Linked DNA regions of Oryctolagus cuniculus. The protein of the gene in region 1 interacts with the protein of each later gene in a pairwise test. Links are inferred from orthologs where the notes say so. Each region holds a gene or a part of one and is shown on either strand. Other genes may lie near its edges.

Region 1 (4,173 bases):
AGGCCCCCCGGCCCGCGGCAGGCGCTCACCCTGCAGCTCCAGGGAGTCGTCCTCATGCTGCCCGACCAGCTCCCGCGTCTCCTCCAGCTCGGCCACCAGCTGCAGCACCTGGGCTCTCAGCTCGTCCAGCTCAGTCTCGGTGAGGCTCAGGCCCCGGTGCTTGCTCAGGGACAAGGAGCCTCCGCTGCCAGCCTTCTGCATGTGCTCAGCTTCTTCTTCTTCCACCTCCTCCTCCTCCTCCTCTTCCTCCTCATAGAGAGCTGGCAGTAACACCTCTCCTGGGAGAGACGCCCAGCCCAGAAGAGAGTCAGTGCCAGCCTCCTGTGCGTGGCCCTTCCAGAGGGCAGAGCGGCGTAACAGTGCCGCCCGGTGTGCCCAGGAGTCCCCTGGATGCCTGATGAGCCCTAGGTGTTAGGGGCAGGTCAGGAGGCCACCTCGCCCTCCCCTCCCCCAGATCCTCCTGGCCCAACGGCACGCTTGGTGGCCTCTGCCTCCAACCTGTGGGCAAACAGTCTCCTGGCTCAGCCCGGGGAACCACACATGCACACCCAAGTCTTTTCTAGTGTGTTCTCTGGGGAGAGGGCTGAATGGTCAGGAGATTCGGACACCAGGCATGCCTTTAGGCCAATCAGGGCCAGAGTTACAGTTTGAGGATTTGTAGAAAGTTTTTTTTTTTTAAATTATTCAGGTGGCTTAGTGTAAAATTAGCCTTTCCATAATAAGCAAACATTGCCCGTCAGTAGGTAGAGAAAGAAAACATGTGAATGAAATGATTCTAAATTCACTGGACAAACGCGGGGGCCCTTTCAAACGCATTCTGTCAAACAGCTGTTTGGAATTTTCTGCAAGCTCCCCTTGCTTGGCCCTGCTGGGGCTGGCTGTCACGGGGCCTCCCCTCCCCACCTGAGCAGGGTGAGGCCCCTCCTCCCTTGGCCCTCCTGGCTGTCACAGGGCCTCCCCTCCCCACCTGAGCAGGGTGAGGCCCCTCTTCCCTTGATAACCCCTCTTGCCCCTGGAGTTTTCAGGGCAAGTCTTAGCTTGCACCTGTGTGTAAAAGTGAGCCTGCCACTGTAATGTGTTTCAAAGGAAAAAAATAATAATAATAATAATAGCAACAGGGGGGGGTTAGGTGCTGGTCCCCAGCCCCTGGTTGGCGAGCAGCCCCTCTTTCACTGCAATGCAGTTCCTGGAAATAGCAAAATCTTGTCTGAACGGTGATTGTCTGCTTTGTCTTCAAATGCAGAGGCTCTGCTCTTACTTCCTCTTAGCAGCAGCCTAAGGCTCAGCTGGGACCCCTGTGTCACCTGCCCCTCTTAAGGGGACCAGGGTGGCCCACACCGAATAGGCGGAGGGGCCTGGGGACTCCTCCCAGGGAGTCCCGGCACCTGGACCAGCCGTGTTCTTCCAGGGGCCCGGCGTTGGCTGCGGTGCCCAGTCACACGGGTGGGGTGGGCACCCACGTGCGTCGGAGGGGACGGCCTCACCTGCCCTTCCTGGCCTGGCTCTTCCAGGCGACCAGAGCCCGGAGGACCGCAGCTGCGAGACTTTGCTTTGAAGTGCATGGCGGTGCCCATGCCCTTGCCTTTTTTAAAAACCAGAGACAGCTTGGGATCTGGGTCGCAGGCGGGGAGAACGAACCCCCCACTGAAAGACTGCTTCAAAGCTCTGTCCACAGAGGCCTGGTTCTCTGTCTGGCAGCTCCCCAGGGGCACGCAACCTGGTTAGCTGTGCCATCGGGGCCCCAAAGGGATGCACCTTGAACTTTCCTCAGAGCGCCCTGGGGAGGACTGGAGTTCCCACCCAAAGGAGGAGGGGCCTGAGGGAAACAGAGGTCAGGGCTGTGGCACGGGCTCGGAGCTCTGGGGTCACAGGGAGGGAGGAGAAGGGACCGGAAAGAAAGATGCCCTTTTGGGAAACTCACCCTCCATAGCTTGCATCCCTCGCCGCTCCAGGGACCCCCAGCGCTGGCCCTTCTTCCTCTCACAGCCCTCGGACACCTCATAGGAGCCTAAAGTGGTTACTGTGGGTCCTGTGAGCAGGGAGACAGGAAGCCATGTGGGGGGCAGGGGAAGAGAGGGGACGGACGTGCCTTCCAGGCCGGTGGGGCCCTGGGATCTGCAATCCCAGCGGAGGCGCCTGCCAGCTCAGCTCTGCGACTCCCCTCCCTCAGCCTCCCCCGCGGGGACCCCAGCCCAGCTGGGGTCCTGGTCTAGGCAGAAGGAGGGCGGGCGTATGTTCAGAAGAGGGGACCGAGAGGAGAGGGGCTGGGACGCAAGGAAGAGCAGCAGCCAGGAAGGGGGAGCGGCCGTGCGACTGCAAAGCGGCGACAGAGGCGCACGAAGGGGTCTGGGCGGGGACGCCCCCTACCCGCCCCGCCCCGCCCCTCCCGTCACACCTCGCCGGGCGCCCAGGAGCCTTTAGGACTGGAGGGGCTGCAGCGGCTGGAGCCCCCGCGAGCTGGAGGGGCAAGAGGGGAGGGCCCCCGGGGAGGATGTGGCCGCTGTACCGGAAAGATGGAGACCGGGCCCGGGACGCGCGGGGACGGAGGGAGGAAGGCTGAGGGCGGAGGGGTGGGCAGCGGAGGAGCAGGGATGCCCGGGGTCTGCAGGCAGGCGCGCAGGAGCGGAGGCAGGAGGGGCGGTGAGGGGAGGGAGGACGGCTCTGACCTGGGCCCGGGCAGCTCCAGCCCGCGGCTCCCGCGCCGGCCCCGGCGCCCGCCTCCATGGCCGCTCCCGCCGCTGCCGCCGCCTCCCCGAGCCGAAGCCGCAGCCGCCGGGCCGGGACCCGAATGGGCGCGCGGGGAGGAGAGAGGGCGGACCGAGGGGCGGGGCCTGGCCAGGCCTCCCGCTGCTGCCGCCGCCGCCGCCTCCCGGAAGCCCTCCCTGCGCGCTCTCTGCGAAGGTGAGCGCGCCTCGGCACGCCTCGGGTCTTGCCCTCCGACACGAGCTGCCCCGACAAGGAGCGGCCACATCCATCTGCTGTGGTGGCAGGGACGCCTCTGCGGCCGGTGTCGGGGCCCGGTCCTGCCCAATGACTGCGGAGGAAGGGCAAGGTGCCCATCCCCGCAGCGCGGTGACCCCCTCCAAGCGCCTTCGTGGGGGAAGCCAGGCCGGGACATGAGCACTGCGGGGCCTGAGCCCTCCGTGTTCCCTGGACGCCCACCCAGCCACAGCCCCGGGCCCGAAGACCCCTTCACCGTCCCGCTCTGTCTCCCTCCGGCCCACACCCAGTGGCTGCAAACCACGCCCCCGCCGAAGTCTGCCATGGTCACTCCAGTGGAAGGGAGCAGTGGGGTCCCAAAGGGCTTCTTATTCAACCGTCCACGCATTCAGGGAGTGGCTGCGGGCGCTGGATTGCCGAGGCAGTTGTCACCTCTCAGAAACGTGGGAGATCCCTAAACCCGAGGCGCACAGACCCCTTCTCTTGCATATCCGCCGCCAGGTTGGGGGGGGCACCTAGAAGGGCTGTCTGCCTTCATTCACCCCTGCGCCTCCTCCTCCCGGATTCCCAGGCCCTACACGTGGAAGGCCTCATCTGCTCCCCAGGGGATGCCCTCTCTGGGCTCTGCGCCTCCCAGCATGGTGGTGGGGGGCGAGGATCCTGTGTGCCCAGCTTCTTGAAGGTTGGGAAGTATCTTAGACCTTGTGTCTCCAGCATCGGTCAGAGTACCTGAGGCACAGAAGGCGCGTGTACAAGTCAAGCACAGGTAATGCTGTCTTAGCAGTGAGCAGAGGGCGACATCCTGTGCAGTCCACGGTGCCCATTAGCAAGAACGTTGCCTGCAAGTCCCTTACTCCCCAGCCCCTCTCCTGTCCCCTTGGCTCGGTCCCCCCCCCCCCCCCCGCAGCCTGAGGCGCTGAGAAATGGTGAACACAGGTCGGGGGTGTTTCCTGCACTTGCTCCAGACCTTGCGGCCAGAAGAGCCCAGTGAGCGGGAAATAGCAGCTCTGCTGAAGCCGGGGGTGTGGGGAGTCGTCGGGACGCTTGGAAGGGGCTGGCACGGGGGGCTTGGGGAGCGTGGAGCTCTGGGGACCCACATCCAAGAGGCTGTTCTTTCCGCCCCAGCACAGCCAGCCTCTCTGGTTCTGTCTCCACCAGTAGGGTCAGGCTCTCGCCACGGCCTTGACGGCTGACCACTTGGTGGACAAAGGGAGAGACAGAGGAGGAAGCTGT
Region 2 (4,113 bases), on another chromosome or scaffold:
CTCCCAGGGGAACCTGGACGCCACATTTAGGGTTGTGGCTTTGGAGTCAAGTTCAATTCGCAACCAGCGGGGTCGGAGGTCAGAAGTGCAGCTGCAGGTCAGCCGGTGGGATGCGGGTCAAGCTCGGAGGTCAGAGGTCAGGGGTCAGGAGTGGCGTTCAGGACAGAAACCAAGGTCAAGTTTTAGGCGGTCACCTCCTTCCGCTGGGGCACACGGCGCCACCAGACGTGGTCGCAGGAGGAACAGGCGAACTGCCTGTCCACGGCAGGGATTAGGTCATCCTGGGCCCGCTGGAACATGCGCAGGTTGGCCTCCGTCAGCGGCAGGAGGGAGGTGGCCACGGCCTGCGGGACGGGCAGGGTGGGGACAGGGGTCACCGTCCTCTGCCTTGCACACGTCTGCCGCCACCCCCACACGGGTCCCCCTGCCCAGCTGCCAACTCACCTGGATGTCTCGGTCCTGCTTCATGTCCTCTGGGGGGTCCTGCGTGGAGACGCCAGGGGCAGAAACTGGGGCAGGCACTCGGGTCTCCCCTTTACCCGCCTTTGCTGGGGGAGGGGCCTCCCAGAGCTCAGAGCAGGTGCACAGCCAGCAAGGAGCAGGTACATGGCTTCCCTTAGCCATTCCGTTAGCCCCGACAGGTGGGCGCACCTGTTCTCGCCATTGCTCATATGGGGAAACTGAGGCCCAGAGGCAGGGGAGGGCTTGCCCGAGATCATCCTAACGCCCGCAAAAGCCAGGGCTGGGCCAGGCCGAAGCAGGGAGCCTGGAGCTCCATCGGGGTCTCCCATGTGGGCGGTAGGGGCCCAAGCTCTTCAACCATCCCTGTCGCCTCCCAGCGTGCCCATGGCAGGAAGCTGGACCGGAAGAGGCGGAGCCGGACTCCAACCAGGCATTCCGCCTCGCGCTAAACACCAGCTCGCCACCTATTTGAGGCCCCGTCGCTTTCGGCTAGTGCTTGGGGCTCTGGATTTGAACAGACACAGGTTCAAGTCCTGGCTTTGGCACTTCCGGCTGTGAGAACGTGGGCAAACCACTCGTCCCCCCGGGGCCCCTGGAGAAAGCATGACTTCACCACCGTGCCTCAGTACTGGTCTGTAAAATGGGCTGATCAATAATGGGTCCTGGCTCGTGTGGTGATCAAACAAGTCAGTTCCTGGAACCTGGCCCCTCGGGGAAGTGCCGGGTCAATGATTACCCTCTGTGATTATTTCTATCACATGCTTTATGCCTATAAAGATTAGGATGCGCACTTTATCTCCAGGTAGGTGAGATCCAGCCATTCCCACACAAAGCCAGTCATCACTCATTCATTCGTTCAACACAAGGACGCCCTAGCCGCTTCCCCCTTCCCGCCTCTTCTGGGGTCAGTTCCCCCTCTTCTCTCCCAGCCTATGCTACCTGTCACCCCCTCCCCTGCTTTTCCATTCCAGGGCTCACTCCTCCCTGTCAAGGCTTTGCATCACCTCCTCCAGGGAGTCTTCCCTGACTTCCTGGGCTCCCTGGCACCAATGGCGGCGTCCGCTCCGCTCCATGGAACACAATCAGCACTTAATGAGCACCTACTGTTTGCAGGCTCCCTGGCCCAGCCGATGATTGAGGAAGGTGCTGTGTGTGGCCAGCCCTGCTCGCTCCAGAGGGTCCCCCCGGCTCTCCCGCCCGGTACCCCGACCTTGGAGGCCAGGGGACAGGTTACCTGCGCGTCCAGGTCATTACTGAGCTCCTGTCCGTCCTTCTGCTTTACCCCTGGCGGGATAAGACAGGGCCCCTGAGCGGCCTGCGCCGCCCAGACCCTCCCGCGGCTAGACCCTCCCGCGGCTGGGCCCTCCCGCGCCACGCCCCCTCGGCGCCGGCCGGGGACCCCCGCGCGCTCACCGTACACGATGGAGCGACCCACGCCGGTGTGGTCGCTGCCGAATTTCCTCATCAGAGCCCCGGCCTTCTTGGGCGACACCTTCCCATGAAACTTCTCCCGGAGGCGCCGGACGCTCTTCTCCAACTGGGACGGGGGGGGGGGGGGGGGACAGGTGGGCTCCGGTGGGGGGGGGAGGGACGAGCCGCCGCCCCTCCCCCAACTCCAGGTAACATTCCTGGGGCCTGAACTTTAGCCTTGGTTTTGGCCTCCGCCCCCTCCCCCCTTCCCACCATCTCTCCACGACATTTCCTGCACAACCCCCAAGTCCCTACAGGGTCTGGGGGTGGGAGCGGATGGCGGGCGCGGGTCCCAGCCTGCGGGCGGGGCGCACAGGTAAGGCCTGGGTCTGACCCCTGACCCCGCAGCCCCCGCTTCTCCTCGGGGGGAGGCCGCGCTTCGCTCCGGAGGCGGGGGACGTGAGCGGCGCGCTCCTCTCCGAGGGGGCCCGGGCGCTCGCCCTGAGCATGGGATGGGATGCGGATGGGGGTCCCCCAGGAACTGCGGAGCCCCCTCGGCGCCCCCGGGCCCCCCTCGGCGCCTGCCGCGGGCCCCTCGGCTCGCGGCCGTGGCCATCGCCTACCTCCACACCTTCCTGAGACATGGTGGTGGCGCGCAGGTCCCCGCGAGGGTCCGCACTGCGTGGCTCAGCCGCCCTCCTCGCTGGGCGCGCCCGTCGGTCCGGCCGCCGCGCAGGGCAGGGGGCGGGGTCTCGCGGCCGGCTCCGCCCTTCTGCCCGGGCCCGGTGTTTCGCTTTCGGTTCCGAAGTGGGGAACGGGTGCGCTGGCTCCGCCCCGGCTCCGCCTCTGCACTTGCGCCCCAAACCCAGGCGGGCGCGCGGGGTCTGCGCCCTGCGGCGGGGCGCGCGCACCTCGGGCGGGGGAGGCGGCGCGGCCTCTGCAGTCGGTCACATGTCCCCACGCTGCGCGGGGGCCGCGTCTTCACGTCCCCCGTGGGGGCGGGGCCGCCTCCGAAGGCAGCGGCGGGTCCCCGCGCCCCCCACTCCCCGCGTGCGCTCCCACGGACCGGGCGCTTGTTAGGACCTGGGGGGGTTTGTGGGGGGGGGTCCCTCCTCCCCTGCTGTTGAGTTCCTGACAGGCCACTGTGACGTTTCTGATCCTCAGTTTATCGCTCTGTAAAATGGGAATGATCCATAGGTGCTTGTGAAAAACACAGGGTGATGGGCCCCAGCTTTTGGGGGGCGCTTTAGAAATGTGCATTTTATTTTTTAAAAGTTTTATTTATTTGGCTGGCAGAGATAAAGAGAGAGAGTGCATTCCCATTTGCTGGTGGACTCCCTAAATGCCTGGGTCAGGCCGAAGCCAGGAGCAGGCATCTCAATCCGGGTCTCCCACGTGGGTGGCAGGGACCCAAGTGCTTGAGCCACCACCTGCTGCCTCCCAGGGCTGTGCTATAGTGGGAACTGGGACCTGGATCAGAGCCCAGGAGTTCAGCTCATGCCATGCAGGCCTCTCATGTGTCCCGTTAACCCTCTCAAGCCAAATGCTTGCTTTGGAATCTGCATTCTCAATCGGGCGGTTGAGGGGCCCATGGGGCCCCAGCAGAGGGGCCTGGGGAGCCTTTAGCTGGGACCCTCGGCCTGGGGACATCATCTCCTGCTTGGACAGAGCCCCAGAAGTTTGAGGTCATAGCTGGTGAGGATGGAGTCAGGTGAAAGAAGCAACTGCGTTTTCTCAGCCGCCTGCACAGAGCTGCGGACACTTTGGGCCAGTAGCTCTTTGCGATGGGGATCTGTCCCCGGCCCCCATGCCCTAGATGCCACCGGAGTCGTGGCCCTCCTCAGAAGTGGCCTCCGGACACTGCTGGAACACAGGGCGGTGTTGGGCACAGAGGTTTTGCTGCCGCCTGGGACGCTGGCATCCCATCTTCGAGTGCCAGGGTTTGAATCCCAGCTCCCGACTCCAGTGCCCTGCTGATGCGCACCCTGGGAGGCACCAGGAGATGGCAGGTGCACGGGGCTCCTAACACCTCTGGGGGAGACCTGGAGGGAGCTCCTGGCTCCTGGTTTTGGTCTGGTCCAGTGTTGGATGTTGTAGGCATTTGGGGAGGGAACCAGCGCATGGGAGATCTCTGTCTTTCAAATAAATAAAATCAATTATTAAGTTAAAAATATGCCTACCATAGGATTCATCAATCCTACAACAGGCACGCCCCTGTCACCCACGAGGGAGACTCGGATG
Region 3 (4,290 bases), on another chromosome or scaffold:
GTTTTCTAAGTACATGGATTAAAAATGCAAGGTGTTCTGAAAACACACAGTCACACGGCACAGGCTACCCATGGGACTGTGCCTCCCACCCCTCCCTTCCTGGCAGAGGGGAGGGGCGAGGAGAAAGTACACCGAGGGGACACAGCGGAAGGGGCGGGAACTTGGGACGTCGGGGCAAAGCGAGCAGGGCTGCTCCCGTCTCAGCTGCACTGCAGCGTTCTGCTAACGCACCTTACGTAGTCTTCATGCTACCCAGCACGGCACCGGCCCGCCCAGGGGCTGCCCTGCGGTTCCGTCGGCAAGGCGCCCACCACCTTCCCTCCTTTTGCTGCCCAGGAGGCGCGGCTGCCATCCTCCCCTCTCGTCTTGGGAACAACCTACTAATTAAAACCCAGGAAACGGCTTCATAAGGAAAACAAACTCTCAGACAAAACCAACAGGCATTTTAAACACTGTTGTAGAAACTGCTGGATAGCAAGCTCGGATTCTTGAAGGCAACCTTTTAAATCCTTTCCTGAAATGGCACTTTTTCTTAAATCATCACCTTACATTTGAAGTGATATTTCTATCTCGTCTCAGCCCAAAGCCAGGTTCCCTGCATTACTCTCCGTGTGTGTATCTGCTTGTTCCTGTTATAGAAGTTTCAGAAGACAAGCCAACACTATCGCTAACAGCATGCGTAAGAGAATTATTATTCTGTGACTCCTCTCCCAGAAGCTGTCTTGTCAGGACGCACAGCTAAGGCGCCACAGCAGAGAAGCGCGCAGGGCCACCGCGCACGCGCAGTGAGGGGAGGCGCTTACCGCTACTCTCAGCAGCTCCTTCTCCACCTGCTCCAGTTTGTTCTGCTTGGAGGCGGCCGAGTAGAGGGCGGTGGCATAGCGGCCTTCCACGCCGTACACCTGCACCGGCGGCTTGAGAGGGAGAGGGAAGCCGAGGGAGATCGGTGAACCGTGCTTCGTACAGACAACACGGCACGGACAGTCATCAGAGGGCTGTCCTAAGAACAAACCCTCACACCGATTAGGGGTCTGGGTGTTTCCTTGGCCTGACCAGGCAAACGTTTAGGAAGCGCCCGCAGGCACCCCTTCCTCCCTGCGGCGGCGCTGCTGGGGCTCCGCTCCCGGCCCCCACGCCCCAGCGTTCAACGCCACAGAGCCCACGCTTGCACCATCTTCCCCAGGGGACTGCGGCCTTTTCCCTACACGCCACAGTCAATGTACGACTGCACGTGCCGCGTGGTGCTGCGTGGCTGCACAGGGGAAAGCCCAGGCAATAGTGAGGCCGAGCAAAGCACCGTCTCCTGGAGCCTCAGTTTCCCCTTTCACACAACGGCAAGGCCTGCCATGCTCCAGCGCCGCAGAGGGGCGGTGAGAACTTCTCACGTGGAGGGTGGCTCTGGGCGATCTGGTGCTTGGACGACGGCAGGGATGTGACAGTCACTTCTCACCCACTTAAAGGTTCCGCTGGCGTCTGTCACAGGGCAAGCACCCTCCACCATCACCGTCCCCACCCTGCGCACGTGTGTCTTGTGAATCGCAACAACATGCAAAGGTTTACGTAGAAGCGACACCACAGGCCACGGCCTGACTGTAGGGCTAGAGCATGCACACCCTCCCACAGGCCCCTCCCCCACACAGGCGTGTGTATAAAGGACCTACCCTCACGAGCTTGGCAAACGGCCGGACCACAGATGTACTGAAGCTTCGCACCTTCAAAGCAAGAATGGAAACAGGTCAAAAGAAATGTCTTCGAGAATCTCTGTAATTCATTCAATCGCGACCTAAGGCTGCCTTTTAAACGATGTTTTTTGACATAGACTCCACGCGGGTGAGCTGTCTTTATTAGCCAGGAGTCCATGTTCTCACCGAGAATCACGCCACGTTGTTTGGAAAATCGCTTTCCCAGTAATCTCCTAGTTTGCCAGGAACCGGCCGAGGCAAGCGCCCAGTACCAAGGAGAAAACGCTACCTTCCAGGAAGTTAACATCTAACATTTCTGAGCGGGATTTTAACACAAGGGGGAGGAATCCGTAAGGAGCTGTAACAGATGGGCTGTCAGGAATCCACCTGCTGTCTAGTGGTTAGGGCGCGGGAGCGTGACCGCACAAGTTCAAGTCCCCAGCGATGCCCTTGCGGCTCTCAAGGGCCATAATCCACGCACCCGCAAAGGCACGGACCGCCCTCCAGGGCTCTGAGCTCCAGAACGCACTGTGTTAAAACCGGCTCTAAGGGCAGGGTTTTCGGGCTTATGGGGAAATCATGGAAACTACAGCGGGGTCAAGTGCGCAAAGCATCGCGGTGAGACGGAAGCGCGGCTATTTGATTTATTTTTCCCAACGCCACTTTCTCGGTGACACTGGGGTTCGGGTCTTAACCCCATCACTCACTACCCAAGCAGCCCAGGACGCCCCATTTGAACTTCTCATGTCCTTTATAAACCTGGGAAATCCGCCTGAAGTCACCAGCGACCCCCGACGGTTTATGGAACAGCCCAGGCGGCGAAGCCCGGGGCTGGCCGGTGGCCCCTGGCGCCAGGGGTTTCCCGGGCTGTGCCCTGAGGACGCCGAGATGACCGCGCGCCCAGCACCGCGCCGGGCACCCCACAGGCGTCCCGGGGGACGCGAGCCGGGCCGCCCTCACTCGCCAGGCCCCACGACCTTGAACGGCGGCCTTGGTTTCCCAGCGGTGGCCTCGAACCCTAGCGCGCAGGCTCTGGTACAAGTTTCCCCAAGGAGGGCGTCCTCCCAGCTAGCTTCTCTCACCTGCCGGGTGAGCCCGCACACTGCGGGGGCCGCCATCTTCTCCCGGGCAGCTGTAGGTCAAATCCGAGCTGGAAGAGGAAGGGGCGCGAGGGCGCACGCGCGCGTCAGCGTACCCGCTAGGCTCTCTGGGAAGTGTAGGCGTAGGTCGCCACAGCGCGTGCGTAGCCACCTCCTTCAAGCTGGGAGTTGTAGTCCTTAGACGATGCAGTAGGGGTGACCTCCCAGGGGGAGGCTGCACCTGCGAAAGGAATCCTTGAGTTCTGGTCCCCGGGGTAAAAACGATGGCGTTTGTCGCATTTCACAGATACCTTTATGTCCGACTACTCATCCCTCCAGCTGCCTTCTGGAGCTTCGTTTTCCCTTTTGCGGGAACAGGTTTAGCCGACAGCATCGCCGACCTCCTCTTGGGCGCTTCCTTCGTGGCGCCTTCGGCAGAGGTGTCCTTGGAAGCAGGGCGGGTGCGTGCCGGGTACCGACAGCCTAGCGAAGCCGGGCTGCGGGGCTGCCGCCGCGGCTCTCCCCCGCCCGCTGGAGCCGTTGGGAACTGCCATGGCCCCTCCTGGAAGCGTCTTTATACATTCATTAAAAAAAAATTAAGATAAATTCCAAATAGTCCCCAGAACCGGCACAGCCTGGTGAGATAGTCCAAGTACTTGGCTTCCGATGCGTGAGGCCAAGTCCTTTCCACAGGGTTAAACCAAGTCATGCTTTTCGCTCGCTAGTAGTGTCTGAAAATCCTTGTTCCCCTGCACAATGCAAATCATATTTCCAAATACATATTTAATTTAATTTAAATTTTTAAAAAGATTGATTTTATTTATTTGAAAGTCAGAATTACAGGAGGAGAGAGAGACAGAGACAGAGACAGAGGGCGAGACATCTTCCATCCACTGGTTCACTCCCTAGGTGGCTGCAACAGCCAGGGCTGGGCCAGGCCAAAGCCAGGAACCAGGAGCTTCTTCCAGATCTCCCACGTGGGTGCAGAGGACCAGGAACTTGGGCCATCTTCTACTGCTCTCCCAGGCCATAGCAGGGAGCTGCACCGGAAGTGGAGCAACCGGGACTCCAGCCAACGGCCATATGGGATGCTGATGCTACAAATGGCGGCTTTACCTGCTCCTCCACAGCGCCAGCCTCTTCCATATACATCTAATGGAAAGTCTATTCATTTAACACGCTTTGTGGAGCATGGGTCCTGTGTGTCAGAAGCTGTACCATGCCTTGAAGACAGAGCAGGGTATGACAAAGGGCTTGTCTTCGTAGGCCTGGTATTCTCCGTGAAATTGAACGGCAGCACCTGTGTGGGTTTTTGGAGCTATACTGCGAATCCAAAGTGCTGAGGCCAAAAACGCTTGGAAAACAGGGTCGCTCTGAAAAAGATTGGGAATTCATCTGCAGGTGTGTCCCACGGGGACACGCCCTCTGTTTAGTTTGTATTCACCCCATTCCGCTCCACCCCCATGCACCTTCCCTATGCAGAGGTTTATGGGTATTTGAATTTTGGGATTTATTAGGTGGTTGCACAT

What was found. The genes of interacting proteins can lie anywhere in the genome.
Region 2: the proteins of CCDC136 (region 1) and SHFL interact in binary tests that used the Homo sapiens proteins (3 or more experiments, as listed by UniProt). The two-hybrid records come from large-scale screens. The link is inferred for Oryctolagus cuniculus from reciprocal best matches to the Homo sapiens genes CCDC136 and SHFL.
Region 3: the proteins of CCDC136 (region 1) and ATP5PO interact in binary tests that used the Homo sapiens proteins (3 or more experiments, as listed by UniProt). The two-hybrid records come from large-scale screens. The link is inferred for Oryctolagus cuniculus from reciprocal best matches to the Homo sapiens genes CCDC136 and ATP5PO.

Annotation. Positions count from the first base shown.
Region 1 is NC_091434.1:164,988,519-164,992,691, reverse strand, and holds the start of CCDC136 (coiled-coil domain-containing protein 136), read right to left. Parts: upstream 2,801-4,173; 5' UTR 2,725-2,800; coding exon 2,667-2,724; intron 2,030-2,666; coding exon 1,922-2,029; intron 279-1,921; coding exon 30-278; intron 1-29. UniProt on the Homo sapiens protein: May play a role in acrosome formation in spermatogenesis and in fertilization.
Region 2 is NC_091447.1:67,206,277-67,210,389, forward strand, and holds the start of SHFL (shiftless antiviral inhibitor of ribosomal frameshifting protein), read right to left. Parts: upstream 2,801-4,113; 5' UTR 2,517-2,800; coding exon 2,496-2,516; intron 2,000-2,495; coding exon 1,876-1,999; intron 1,747-1,875; coding exon 1,697-1,746; intron 484-1,696; coding exon 445-483; intron 345-444; coding exon 195-344; intron 1-194.
Region 3 is NC_091435.1:11,119,817-11,124,106, reverse strand, and holds the start of ATP5PO (ATP synthase subunit O, mitochondrial), read right to left. Parts: upstream 2,801-4,290; coding exon 2,765-2,800; intron 1,713-2,764; coding exon 1,662-1,712; intron 915-1,661; coding exon 804-914; intron 1-803. UniProt on the Homo sapiens protein: Subunit OSCP, of the mitochondrial membrane ATP synthase complex (F(1)F(0) ATP synthase or Complex V) that produces ATP from ADP in the presence of a proton gradient across the membrane which is generated by electron transport complexes of the respiratory chain.